Linked DNA regions of Oryzias latipes. The protein of the gene in region 2 binds, or shares a complex with, the protein of the main gene of each other region. Links are inferred from orthologs where the notes say so. Each region holds a gene or a part of one and is shown on either strand. Other genes may lie near its edges.

Region 1 (4,249 bases), on a different chromosome or scaffold from region 2:
AGCCAGAAGGCAGATCAGATTCTCATCTGAGTGCATCTTTAACATTTGATGCCTCATTAAAAGCTGGACTTTACCGCAGCCCCTCCAGTCCGGGTGCTTTATTTCTTTAGTTTACACTTTCTCTTCCTTTCTCCATGGGTTGGGAACGTAACAGATTTGATATATTATCCTTTTTTTTTACATTTTTTATACTAATTTTGCTTAATAAATATATTCTATAAAGAAACTTCCTCCAGGATTGGAGAAATAGTGAGTTAAACTATTGTTTAACTCAAGTCTGATGTCTTATCTTAAGAATCACTATATAAAGTGTACATTTAGTAGAAAAGAATTTTAATTTGTGCTTGTAAATAAGAATGAATCTGTTTATGTCTTATCATCTGAAGCTCTTTGGCATTAAAGTTAGCCCAACTTCTTGTTTTGTGTTAGCCAAACAGGTTTCTTTCATGCTGCTATACTATCTTGGAAAAGCTTCAAGAGTTTTTGACCAACTAAATATTTTTAAACCCTTTTAATTTTTTCCCTTTGTGAAAATTTGTTGTTTTTATTACAGTTTTGAGGGAATTTCAAAATGTTACAGGCTGGTTTTGATATTTTAGTTTGGGTCTGTACATTAACTATCTGCTCCGATGGACCCGAAATCGAAGTTTCAACATTTTTTCTTGCCATAACAAACGTTCTGGGAGGAAAACTATTATTTTCCTCCAGGAACATGTTTGAATTTTTATTTTTTTATGTTTAAAAGGTATGTCTGATATGTATGAGGCAGCTCAAATGTGAGAGCCTTTAGTTCTAGTAGGATTCTTCCTGCTCAAGGCCGGATACGGGCAAGGTCCCCCCACCAAATTCTGCGATCGTCACCCCCAAAAATGTGATGGCCCACAAAAATACACAGCCAAAAAAAACAAACAGACAAAATGTGACTGCCCCAAGCCCGGTAAATGCAGAAGATAGTGTCAGTAAAAGCATTCAACATAAAATGTATAAAACATACCAAATACATCAGAGAAGAAGATAGATACACACGGATGGACGCACTATAAAAAAGCAGTAATTCATGAATCACTGAAGGCAAACTCATTTGGAATTTCACCAAATTTCTTCATACGTCGAAAACAGACAACTTTTGTGTCTTTTTGTGTGTTTTTTTTCTCATTAAACTTCCAATACTTATTTAGTAATGTTGTACTGAAACAGCAGGAATGAGGTCAGAGGAACAGAATGCAAAACAGCACTTCTGATACACACAGACGTAAGCTGGTATCTTCACACAGCCTTGGAGATAGAACACCACACGCTGTGTACAATGAAAAATGTCTTGTATTGATAAGCCACTGCAGTCGGAGGCATTTATGCTTTGTGCTGCACTTGTACAAGTCGAGCCGCCATGCAGAGACAAACCGTCTGCTCTGGCCTGAATAGATAGGACTAAAAACGTCTCTCTCACAGGAAATCTTTGGATGAAGCCAAAAAGGTAAGGACTGATTCCGCCATCAGAGGTACGTTTTTCCCCATAAGAGTCAAAATAGGATGAAGTTCATCCCTGCTGTTTAAAATCAAATGTTTTGTTCTTGAAGGATGGCTGCAGGCTCCTGAATGCTCTTCCCTGAGATAATCCTTGCATTTGTTGTTTGTTCACTTATGGTTGATGAGACTCCAATCGAAATCTCAAAAGAATTACTTGTGGGGTTTTTTTTCTTTGAGAATCTTCATTGAAATGGGAAAAATATTTGTTCTTAATATCGATTAATACAGATGCAAACTCTTCACATCTAAAAAACCCCCAAACTTTTCAAGTTTGATTTAAGTTTTTCTCTGTATTTTCTAGTGTTAAACTTTGTTTTAATAAAGTATGGTTGTGTAAAAAAAAAAAGCCTTTATGAAGCAAACTTCTTGACAGATCAATGTGTTTGGGCTCTGCAGAGGGTTTTGCAAAACTGGAAGAATTAAAGTATTTCGTCAAGAATTGTTTTGTCTCATAAAGAGCTGGGATCTAGAAATAAATAAATTATTATTAACATGAGTCATAATCCTTTTCTCCATAGGCTACAATAGGAAATTTTGATTTAAGACTAAAAAAACTAAAATTCTTGATTTAAGAATTGTTCATAAGACATCTAAATGCATTTGATTTAACAGACTTAGTATTTAACACGGAGAAGCCACATTAAATCTTTCAGAGAGTTTGATAACATTGTAAAAAGTAGATTTATGTTCTGAGATTAAGGGCTAGTTTTAGATTTGATGAGGATTTATTAAGATGGGCCAACTTTTGTTCACACTTTGTCCTAAAATGAGTCATTTCCACTCATTACACTGTTTTTTTGTAACTGTAATCAAAACTGCAATTCATTCAAATATTTATCATTGGACTGTAAAACATTTAACTTTCAGTAACTCTATCAGGCAGCAGCTTTTTTAGCTTATTTTTCTCATTTTTGAATGCTTGTTTGGAACTTCTTGTTTCTAAATTTCCTATGATAAGATTTCTTGTTAAGTAAAAATGACTTATTGCATAGACAGATATTTTACTGCATTCTAGTGATTATCTTCTAAAGAACAGCATTTATTTATTTTTAGGCTACCCCTTTTGTCTTATTCCTATATTCTAATCAGTCCAATATCCTTTTTTTTTGTTAAATTCAGGATTCAAGGGGTTTTTATTGCCATTGTCAGTGAACAAAGCAGTTTCACAGACTAGGAGTTTGCTGCGGTGCCAATGTGCCACATACAACACTTAGGAATAAAAATGAACAATAGTAAGCAAAATAACATAAAAATGACACAATGGTCAGAACAATAAATAGAAATAAACAGTGCAAACAGAGGATGAAGAAGGTGCAGGTAACGGACTGGTAACTGGACATATAAGTGAAAAGTTTAGGGGGGGGATTAAAAAGGGTTCATGAGTCGGACTGCAGACGGAAAGAAAGAAAGGTTCTGGTCCAGATGGACTTTAGCCTCCTGTCCTAAGGGAGTGGTTCAAGTAGACCATGACCAGGGTGAGAAGGATTGGCTGCTATCCGACCTGCACGCCTCCGGGTTCTGGAGACGTATAGGTCCTGGAGAGATGGAAGACTGCAGCCAATCACCTTCTCAGCTGAGCGCACAATACGTTGCAGTCTGTGTATGTCCTTACTTTCATGTTGTGTTTTGTTATATTGTCTGTAGTCTACTTTTAGGTGGTAGGGCAGCACTTTAGTAATTTCTGCATTGTGTTTTTAACAATCAAATACTTTTGTTAACTACTTTGTGGCAACAGAAAACGAATTCCTTTAATGACGTTCAAAATCTAAAGATTTCAGTTTAAGCAACTAACCAGCCGACGGACCTTATCTTGTGTATCCAGCCGGATAAATATTTGGTCACTGAGTCACCTGGGTGCCTGAACTGTGGAAAACAGCTGCAGCACATCAGTTCTCCCTCTTCCTAATCTTATTAAAAAAAAAAAAAAACAGCCTCTTCACTAAGGTCAGAAAAGAGTGTGACCTTTTACTTAAATGGCTGCTCTTTTGGTGTTTTTGACAATTGACTCCCCAGAAGTTCACACAGGAAGGAAACACAGATAGAAGTCATGATTTCTTTTCATTGGCATTTTATAATGGAAATTCTGGCTAAAGGATACTTTCTCCTAAAGCACTGAATGGTACTTGCTCTGAACACTTCACACAAACAACCAAAGATCTAGAATTAGTTTCAAAATCCAAAATGTTGTCAGGCTCAAAGCTCAGATTTAGCCGTTTATCCTGCTTTTTCCCAATAAAAAATAATCCACCTTTAATTATTTTGAGTCCATAATCTTTGTTTTCTGGGAATACTTTGGGGTTGAAATAGCATAGAACCTTTTCAAACATCAACAACATTTGTATTCAAAGACGAGCACCGGGGATAATGACCATAATTGTGGCTGAAAAGACTTCCTGTTGTATGAAACCGCATCATCTCTGAGAGCATGTCCACATTGACGGAGTGGATCCATTCATCAGCCTGACTCATACTTTGACCCTTCGGTCAATACTCTCCCCACAGGGAGCTCAGAACTGAGCGCACGGAGACACTGAACGCTGGTGGATCTGCTTTTGAGCTTTCGGATCATGGTGGAACCGACCCTTCGCACCAGCGCCGTTGTGCTGCTGCTGATTCTGCACAACTGTGCAGCAAACCACGGTACTAAACCTTTGCTCTGTTCTTTGAGGTTCTGCAGAGAGCTGCAGCTCTTAGGAGCAAATATAATGGTGAAACTGAAAAA
Region 2 (4,137 bases):
AGAGTGTTGTAGACTAAGAGCTCTCTGTACATGTAAACATTCTGAACAGATCTTTAGGCAGAGAAAACACTTTGCACCGATATGCAACACTTTAAGCTACTAGCATGCTATCGTAAAGTGTTGCATGTTGACGTAAAGCTGCTTTCCTCAGCGTCAGAATTCCTCGGTTTACGTTAATTGCGTAAATGGTTGAAGTCCCAGTGGTTCAAAGAACATCAACAATCAGGGTTAGGGTTAGGGTTAGGGTTAGACCTTCAGTTCTGGTGTTGGGGGTTAAGATAGGGTGTGACGATTCATTTTGGGATTATATCATAATGTGTGGTCGCAGATACGATTCATATCGGTTCATTGTGAACAACCCACTGACCTAAAATTGATCCTAGACATCTTTAGCCAAAAATTCATCCTGTGACTATTTGTTGTTGCGTTGAAGAAAAATGGCACATAGGTGTTTTTGGGTGGTCAATAGTGGCTTACGTCACTGAACAGGTCCTGTTTCTGTTGACCCTGCACGGCCTTGGATTTGTAGATGCTGTCCACCTGCAGGTCCTTAAGCGGCCGGCTCTTCATCACGTAGAGCGTCCCGGCTGCTTCGATGTTCTGTGGCGTCTGCGAGTCCAGCTGGGCTACCTGATGGACAGAGAGACAGAGAGACCTTCAAAAGCAGGTCTTCTCACTGATGTGGTGGAACTGCGGCGGTCCCCACCTGCTTTTCCAGGGTGACGTAGCTCTGCTGGTCCACCTGGTACTCATGGTAGGTTGCACAGGATCCCTTACAGGAGCGAAGCTTCATGTCGATGTCGACCTGCCAGAGAGCAACAGCAACAGACGTCACCACCAACAGATGAACCGGTTTAGGTTCAGGTAGATGTTGCGCTCTCTCCATACCTCCAGCCTTTGCATTTCCGTGACCTGTTCCCTGATTCGCCCCTTCAAGGCGGCCATGACTTTCATCTGTCTGTCAATCCTGATTTTGATCTCTGTGATTCTCTGACGCAGACTCTGGGCCAGTTCGAAGTACTTGTTGTCGTGACCTGTTTGGAGACGATAGCACAACCGATGGGACTTCCTGTCCACCAAATCCAGGAGGAGAAGAGACGGTTTTCTGACTCTGACCTGCATCGACGGTGAGTTTCTCCCGCAGGTAGTCGTGGGTCTGCTTGGACACCTGGTCGGCAGAGCGATACTTTCCCTTGTGCTGATTCAGCTGGTCACGGATGTACTCGATCCTTTTCAGCAGGTCATGGTCATATTTATCCATCAGACCTTGAATCCTGCAGCCGGAAGGACATTTGTGGCCCTACGGTGGACAAAAGGGGTCAAATTAACACACTACAAGAAAATGACAGAAAAATGAATTTAAATCAACTTTTGTAGGGTTTAAGTAACCCCCCCCCCCCCCCCCAAAAAAAAAAATATAAACAAAATAAAAAATGTGACATTTAAATCTCTGCAAATGATGCATTAAAATATACAATTTAAAGCTGCAGGACAAAGACTGTCTGCTTATTTTTTTCTCTACGAATGAAAGATAAAAAAAAACAGGAAATGACATTATTAGAGGAAGCGCGTTCATTGGTTGTCTCTGATGGTTTAGTGTGGAAAGGAGCAGAATGACCTTGAAGACTTGACCACGAATCCTAAAGGACGATGAACTGAGCGTTTAGCAAAACCTAAAGCAAACATGAATCCCTTACAGAAGTCAGGAGGTTTTACCTTTTATACCCCAAAAACATTTTAATGAGTTTAAGTCCAACATAAGTATAGAGATGCTAAAGATTATTGTCATCCGTGTTCCTCCAAAATATAACATGGTTACAGTGTTTAAAGAAAGGTAAATGTTGGGGCTTTTGTTTGACATTTGGACACCCATATTCATACTTTTATTGGGTGCAATTATCAGTTATCAATGGCCCTTGACCATTAATCATCTGTATCTTTGAAGGAAGCATGTCAGGCGATCGCTAAACGAAGACATTTTCGTCAGTAAATTGTTTGTTTTAGCAGAATTTCCTTGTGCATCCAAAGTTTTCACAGCTGTTTTTCTGTTTTTATTGAAGTGGTTCCCTTCTTTGCTTTGTGTTTTCGGTTGAAGGGGGGGTCAAACCTGGTGACATGTGTTATGACGAGGCTGTGTGTCGATTCTTGAGAAAACGTTTATCCGTTACGGCTAAGTTCATCGAACGCTCCGTACTGCAAAGACCGTTTCGAAGGGAATCGTGAAAAGGAAAAGAGTCTCTGAGGAGGTTTTTAGGAAAACCACAACATTCCTCCCCCGGACCATTACTTCAGCTACTCTGACCGTGTGTTGAATGAATAGGCGGTAAAACGAGGAAGAGTACCCAGTCATCGTCGAGACAGAACGGCCACTCCTTCTGCGTGGCACATTTCTCGTCTCTGGTTCCATGTTCCACCGGTCGAGCTCCTCTGGGGTCGATGACGGTGTCCTGAAACAACAGAGACTGGGCTGTGAGGACCAGAGGCTGGTCACTGCGTCAGAAAGAGACCAAAGCTCACGGAAATATAGTTCAAACTAAAGGTTCTCTGGGATCCTCAAAAAAGAAGCAACACTTAAAACCTCCAGAGAGGCGTGTCTCACCTGTGTGAAAGCCACACAAAGCAGGCAGGTGAGAACCACGAGCTGCTTCATCCTTCTCTCTTCTGTGTCTGACTGCATCTGCGCAGCTGCAGTCACATCTTTTGAAGGCCTCCACCAAAGCTGTGACTCACCAGAGAGCCGCCGGCCGTCAGGTCGCATCAGAGTTGAGCAACGGCTCCTGCTGATCGATACGTCGCTGTTTGTTGTCCTGCTGTGGCAAAGTACACAATCTGTGAACCCAAACACGCACAGCTTACCAGCAGCCCATCCTCCACGTCCTCCAAAGGCAAACTTTCCCTGATGGTAAACAGGACCGACTCATCCTGTGACTGATCCTGTACGATGAATGAGACTTGCAGAGTCAAGCTTTGGTCACATGAGCGTTTGAGCCAGTAAAAGCCATGTTTCAAGTCTTTTAAAGAGACCTCAGGTCACCTCGGTTCCCCTGAAAAGCTTTGTCACAAAAGCTTTGTCACAAATACTCAGTTAATAAGTTTAAAAACATTTTTTTTCCCCCTTTTTATGTTTGACACAGATTATTTGTCCTCCTAGAGAGGAGCCGCTGCATGTTAAGGGCAGAGCAGTTCCCTTGAGTCTCATATACACTTCAAAGGACGTCATTGTCACGGCGCAGTAAGGCTAATGAAAGTGGGTGTCGTACACCACACTCTAGTCGTTAATGACATCACGCGAATGCCGAGTGTGATGAATAGGTGGTCATCGGACGCCCGTAAGATGTCCACACTAACTACACTCTGATTGTCTAAGGATGCGTGGACACCAGGCATGTGATGCACATTGAAGAACGCTCTGAACACAGGTTCTAGAACGAGCTGGACTGGCGCTGCCCAATACTAGCACATGTCTGCCACCTACAGTTGGAGTGGTGTGACATGTCAAAGCTTTATTCCAATATATGAAAGACATTGAATGATCCTAATTTGTAGATTTTGACTTTGTGAAATCAGTGACGTCATATCTGTTGTTTAAAACAACCAAAATAGTGAGCACGGTGTCTGAATGGTTTTTAACATCCAGGCCACTAGTTAGTTCTGGACTACATCGTTAGAGTTTGTCGTCTTGTATAAACTATTTCTCTGCAGAAACACTGCAGACCTTCATGGCTTTGCAGAAGAAACACGCAAACTCTGGTTTATCCCTTGTGGTATCCTAGGCACTTTAACATTGGGAGTTGGGTCATCTAGACCCACTAGACAGTGCTCTGAACCTTTTTTCTTCAATGATTTGTGATCTTCACTGGTGTCCATGGATTACATTAAATCTTTCCACCTTTATCCACCTTTGTCATGGTAGGGAGAACACGTTAAAAGTCATCTTGACCCCATAGGATAGCACAAGGGTTACAAATGAATCTAAAGTCATTTTTTTTCTCTGTTTGTCTTTTGTTGTGGTTTAAATGATTGTGTCATTCTTGTGTTGGCGTTTCTCACCATTGTTGACAGTTGACATGTTGTGTGATAAAATGCCTCTAAACTGTGACATTTGCCCTGCGTGTGCCTGATCCCACCACCAGGTGG
Region 3 (4,367 bases), on a different chromosome or scaffold from region 2:
AAAGAATAAAAAAAAACAAGACTTGGTAAGGAAAATACATGTATTTAGTGGTCAAAACAACATTGAAGAAACCGAAAATTCTTTTTGGCAAAAATCTCCACAATGGTCAACAACACAGTGACACCGTGATAGTTGGTGGCTGAATACTTGATCTGAGGAGGCCTAAGTGCAGAACACTTAACGGTTTCACAGTCCTCCAAACGTTTTCACGCCAGCTTGCTGTTCTCCTCCTGACATGATGCGGTTGAGGGGAATGATCTTCATGGTCGTCTCCTTCAGCGAGTACCAGCGGTCGTGCCACGTCAGCCAAGTGATGCCATTGTCATAGCCGTGTTCACCCGCATCTTTTTCCGTGTATCTTCCACCTGGATGACAGAAACGCAGATTCCAAATTTTAATGTTTTTAACCTATTTATACATTTAAACATGGAAGTAACCACTTTTAGAGTCATTGTACCCTGGTAGTATTTTCCAGTCAAATGAGCGGCGTGACATCTGTTCATCCACCACCCGGAGCCGTCCTGCTGGGCACAGTTGCCATCATATTTGTCGTTGTCCTTGTCGAAGGTGCTAAACTGCATGCCATTGTGTGACGTGTAGAACTTGTCGCTGGGGTCTTCTCCTAGGTCAACACCATCGAAAGCATCTCCTGCGTCGCCACCAAAGTAGTAGCCATACATCAAGCGGTAATTGTCTTCTGCTGAGCCTACCCTAAACATGGCGTAGTCAGCGTGCCTGGAGTAAGAGACAGCAAGAAGTGAGACGTTTGAACCAGCTTAGATCTCGTTATTTACATTTTCCAGCCACATCAATGAGAGGTCATGTTTGTTTTATCATGTCCCTCTCTGCTCCTGTTACACAATCTGTCATAGTGCGTGGGTGTTCGTTTGTACTTTTTGTTGCCCTCCCAGTCAACAAGTTCTATCCTGAGGACAACCGGGATGGTGGTGCTGATAGTTAGTTGATGGATCTTTTCATTTCCGAGCCAAAACTCGGTGGTGTCATCCGGAGACAGATAGCCAAAGCCCTCCTTGTACTGGACCCAGTCTCTCCTGAAGTCCACACTGCCGTCACGTCTCTGCGGACAAAAAGGAAAATGGACTGGGATAAAAAAACTGTTTTGAGTGTGGGAAAAACAATAGCAGGATTAAAATGGGTACCTACTCTTTGGAGTACCGTAAAACCCCGCCCAACACTGTCAATCTCACAATAAACCAAGAACTGCTCCTTAGCTTTGGCTGGCTTCACATAGTAGAGGCCGCTGGTGGTGGCACCTTTATTTGCAACATCCTGGCAATCTGAGAACAACAAACAAACAATCATAAATGAAAAAAAATATGCATTCGTGGGACGTGACCATTTGTGTCTATGCCTAAAAGAATACCCCAAATTTGAAGTAATGGAAGATTATTTCTAAGACAAAACAAAAAAGCTTCGATGTAGCTTATTGATTTTGGCAGAAAACTAAACCCTGAACAAGGACACAAAGTGCTCACAACAGGCCCGATTGAGAAACTCCTTATGAAATAGGAACGGCCAGAGGGTCACGGGGAGTGTTTACCTGCTCCTGTGATAGGCTGGATTTCAACGGAGTCTTTGCAGGGCTCGCTGCATCTCTGCTGAAGCTGCATGGACAGCTGCTTCAGGTCTGCCATGCTTCTCTCATTGGAGGAGATCACATTCTGGAGTTCACTGGTGAGACAGGGACACCCAAGACGACTCTGAGTCATCATTTCCTTATGCTAAAAAAGATTATTGATGAAAAATGTTTGGGTTGCAAATCCGTCTGTGGGATGTTTGGTGGCGATTGGGAGAAAAAGTAGTTGAAACATCAATAGAAAAATAGAAAGTGGTGCAATTTTTGAACGTTCTGTGAGGAAGTAAAAAAGACAAGCGTTTCCTCCTCTTTAGCTTTGACTACATGATATCCCATAACAGGATGATGGAAGCCTTTTTCTTAGGAAAACAATTCAACTCTCTACAACATAAGCAGCTCATGTTAGCATAACTGTAGATATGATCCTCAAAAACACCAAAAATAAAAAAAACTTAAAACAAAATAGAATGATACTGAAGTGCTGAGACTACTAAAAGTGTCTATGAGATCAGAACTGACGCCTAAAATCCTGCAGTTAGACGTAAACCTCTGTTTTACTCACAATATTTGCTGTTCTTGTGCAATAATTGTCTTGTCAAATCGAAGAACGTCTTCCAGCATACTTGACGACCTTTTATAGAGAGGCTCTGAAATGAAAACAACCACGTATGCATTTATTTTAAGCTCGACATGTAACATTTGAAAGAATTTATGAAACCAACCAATGAAGAGAGAAACAACATTTTTCTATCTTTTTTGGAAAAAAAACCACATGGTGTTCACCTGGCTGGGAGCTCTTCTGGGCTGAAGCAGCTGAATCTCGCATGTATGTAATTTTTTCTTCTGCTCCTTCAGTCAAGTTAGCTATCATGTCCAGGTCTTTTTGCATTTCCGCCAAAATATCACTCACTTCTGGTAAATACTTGAAGAAGTAATCAGCAACTCCACATGTTGTGGGACAGTATTTTCCCTAGAATCAAAAAAGGCAAGTTGATTAAAAAGGAAAAAAAGATGTATTTTGATGAACACATGACACAAGTTTGGTACTCACAAAGCCATCATTTGTGGTGCATGTTCCCAGATTATCTCCTCTTACTTGCTATAAAACAGGACAGATTAGGTGAGTTGATTTTTTTTTTTCTCACAACAAAAAAATTGCAATCATTGAACTCACTGCAGATGCCAGGGAGAAGAGTAATAGAAATCCTCCCAAAGTGGCAAGAAGTTTTGACTGCATGTTGTTCTGGCTTCCTGTGTTTTTGGAGAGTGAAGGGGTGCCTGGACTGGGGGAATATATATCTGTACGTGGCCACGGGTCAGACTTTGGTAAAGGTTCATGGGTAAACATTCCACTCACTTTGTTGTCACAGATCTGTGACTCAGAGTGTAACAGGGGTTGCTTCAAAGTTGTGACGTTCTCAAAGTTTACCAACTAGAACACAGCTCCAACCTTCCGGCACAAGCTATATTTGTGCAAATCTGACTGCAGGTGAGGATGACTCAGCATCTTCTGGAACATGGCTCGTCTGCAGTCGGGAAATCGAAAAAGAATCACAACATGACTCATCACATCAAGGCAAATCATTTGTTTTCACTTGCTTGAGTCCATCTGTCATTACACGAGGAAGCATTCTGCAGGGTCTACATGCACACAGTATGTGCTGCCAAAAGTATGAAAACAAGATCAAATTCATAAAACTGGAACGTTTTGTTAAAGTTTTATGCTTCATATTGTTTCATGCCATTTCATTTAAATTTTGGTGTCTTAAATGAATGTCAATCAAAAGCATTTTTTGGGTTATTTATACTTTATCAATACATATGCAGATTGTTTAGCAATTCTACAAGTATTCATGCTATATAAGAACAAAGAGGAAGCTTTAAAAATAATTAAATTAGTCTATCCCAGGAATCATTACACAACACATGTCAGGTATCAAAATGGAGTTCCTATTGATTGTCTTCAGAAAAAGTTATTGTATTAATCGAGACTTGATAATAATATGAAAATTACTGCTCAATTTTTGCAACAGAAACTCATTTCTAAAGCACCTCGAAGGAATTGTGGTCCTGCTTGTAATAAGGAAAACAGCAGAGACACCTTAAAACTGATCTTCATGCATGGCTAGTTTGCTACGCTCACACTGACCTTGGCGACGTGCGTTCGTTCAAGCGACCACTTCCTATAAAAAGTCTATGTGAATGCACGCTTGAAGCTATCACGTTCATGCATAGCTTTGCATGTTTTTAAATCCGATTTTGGGCTCTATGTACAAACGCTCTGCCTTTGAACGCGCATTGAAAGCTAAACCAGTTGAACTTTGAACCAATCAGAGACTCGGATTTGGTAGTGAATTATGGGTAGTGTCCTTTTTAACCCACGGAAGTGCCAACCATTTGAAAATTAATTATGAAGGAGGAGAAATTAATAACTGTGGTTTGTGCCCGGCTGGAATTCTATAACAGCAAGTCTATCATATATCAGAATAGTTATGTGAAAGAAAAAGCTTGGAGCAAGATTCACCAGATTTGCACTGCTTTGACATTTTGCTGCAAGCCTCTTTCAGCTATGAGTACTACTTGCACAAGTATCGGGTAGCAACAGTCAAGTGTGAACACTGTATGCTAAAATCGCGTTCAAGAACCCGTGCTTAGCATGTTCTTTAGCACATTTTGCATTACTTGGCAAATACTATCACAACAAGTTGTAATACATCCCGATAACCTTTCCCTCTGTGACCTGCTTGACCTTGGGGTTTTTGAACATGAC

What was found.
Region 1: the proteins of fga (region 2) and prothrombin are in contact, whole or in part, in a crystal structure (PDB 2A45), measured with the Homo sapiens proteins. The link is inferred for Oryzias latipes from reciprocal best matches to the Homo sapiens genes FGA and F2. Residues at the interface, in NP_000499.1 of Homo sapiens: Trp52, Pro53, Phe54, Cys55, Ser56, Asp57, Glu58; in NP_000497.1 of Homo sapiens: Phe382, Lys384, Ser385, Gln387, Leu423, Arg425, Tyr434, Glu439, Lys440, Ile441, Ser442, Met443, Lys470.
Region 3: the proteins of fga (region 2) and fgg are in contact, whole or in part, in a crystal structure (PDB 3GHG), measured with the Homo sapiens proteins. The link is inferred for Oryzias latipes from reciprocal best matches to the Homo sapiens genes FGA and FGG. Residues at the interface, in NP_000499.1 of Homo sapiens: Trp60, Asn61, Lys63, Cys64, Pro65, Ser66, Gly67, Met70, Leu73, Ile74, Val77, Asn78, Phe81, Arg84, Ile85, Leu88, Ser91, Tyr95, Asn98, Leu105, Ile109, Ile112, Asp116, Ser119, Arg123, Asp124, Tyr127, Val130, Ser131, Asp133; in NP_068656.2 of Homo sapiens: Thr47, Thr48, Cys49, Gly50, Ile51, Ala52, Asp53, Leu55, Tyr58, Gln59, Val62, Asp63, Leu66, Gln67, Leu69, Glu70, Leu73, Thr80, Ile87, Ile90, Gln91, Tyr94, Glu98, Asp106, Ala107, Ala108, Thr109, Leu110, Ser112, Arg113.

What each region holds. Positions count from the first base shown.
Region 1 is NC_019860.2:10,383,426-10,387,674, reverse strand, and holds the start of prothrombin, read left to right. Parts: upstream 1-1,343; 5' UTR 1,344-1,474; intron 1,475-3,969; exon of another isoform or gene 3,970-4,029; 5' UTR 4,030-4,094; coding exon 4,095-4,167; intron 4,168-4,249. UniProt on the Homo sapiens protein: Thrombin, which cleaves bonds after Arg and Lys, converts fibrinogen to fibrin and activates factors V, VII, VIII, XIII, and, in complex with thrombomodulin, protein C. Functions in blood homeostasis, inflammation and wound healing.
Region 2 is NC_019876.2:1,414,600-1,418,736, reverse strand, and holds the start of fga (fibrinogen alpha chain), read right to left. Parts: upstream 2,893-4,137; 5' UTR 2,868-2,892; coding exon 2,857-2,867; intron 2,778-2,856; coding exon 2,600-2,777; intron 2,448-2,599; coding exon 2,343-2,447; intron 1,301-2,342; coding exon 1,117-1,300; intron 1,035-1,116; coding exon 889-1,034; intron 806-888; coding exon 707-805; intron 631-706; coding exon 478-630; intron 1-477. UniProt on the Homo sapiens protein: Cleaved by the protease thrombin to yield monomers which, together with fibrinogen beta (FGB) and fibrinogen gamma (FGG), polymerize to form an insoluble fibrin matrix. Fibrin has a major function in hemostasis as one of the primary components of blood clots.
Region 3 is NC_019859.2:20,796,596-20,800,962, reverse strand, and holds the start of fgg (fibrinogen gamma chain), read right to left. Parts: upstream 2,907-4,367; 5' UTR 2,835-2,906; coding exon 2,772-2,834; intron 2,697-2,771; coding exon 2,649-2,696; intron 2,568-2,648; coding exon 2,381-2,567; intron 2,245-2,380; coding exon 2,160-2,244; intron 1,693-2,159; coding exon 1,562-1,692; intron 1,299-1,561; coding exon 1,165-1,298; intron 1,079-1,164; coding exon 894-1,078; intron 736-893; coding exon 458-735; intron 366-457; coding exon 187-365; 3' UTR 1-186. UniProt on the Homo sapiens protein: Together with fibrinogen alpha (FGA) and fibrinogen beta (FGB), polymerizes to form an insoluble fibrin matrix. Has a major function in hemostasis as one of the primary components of blood clots.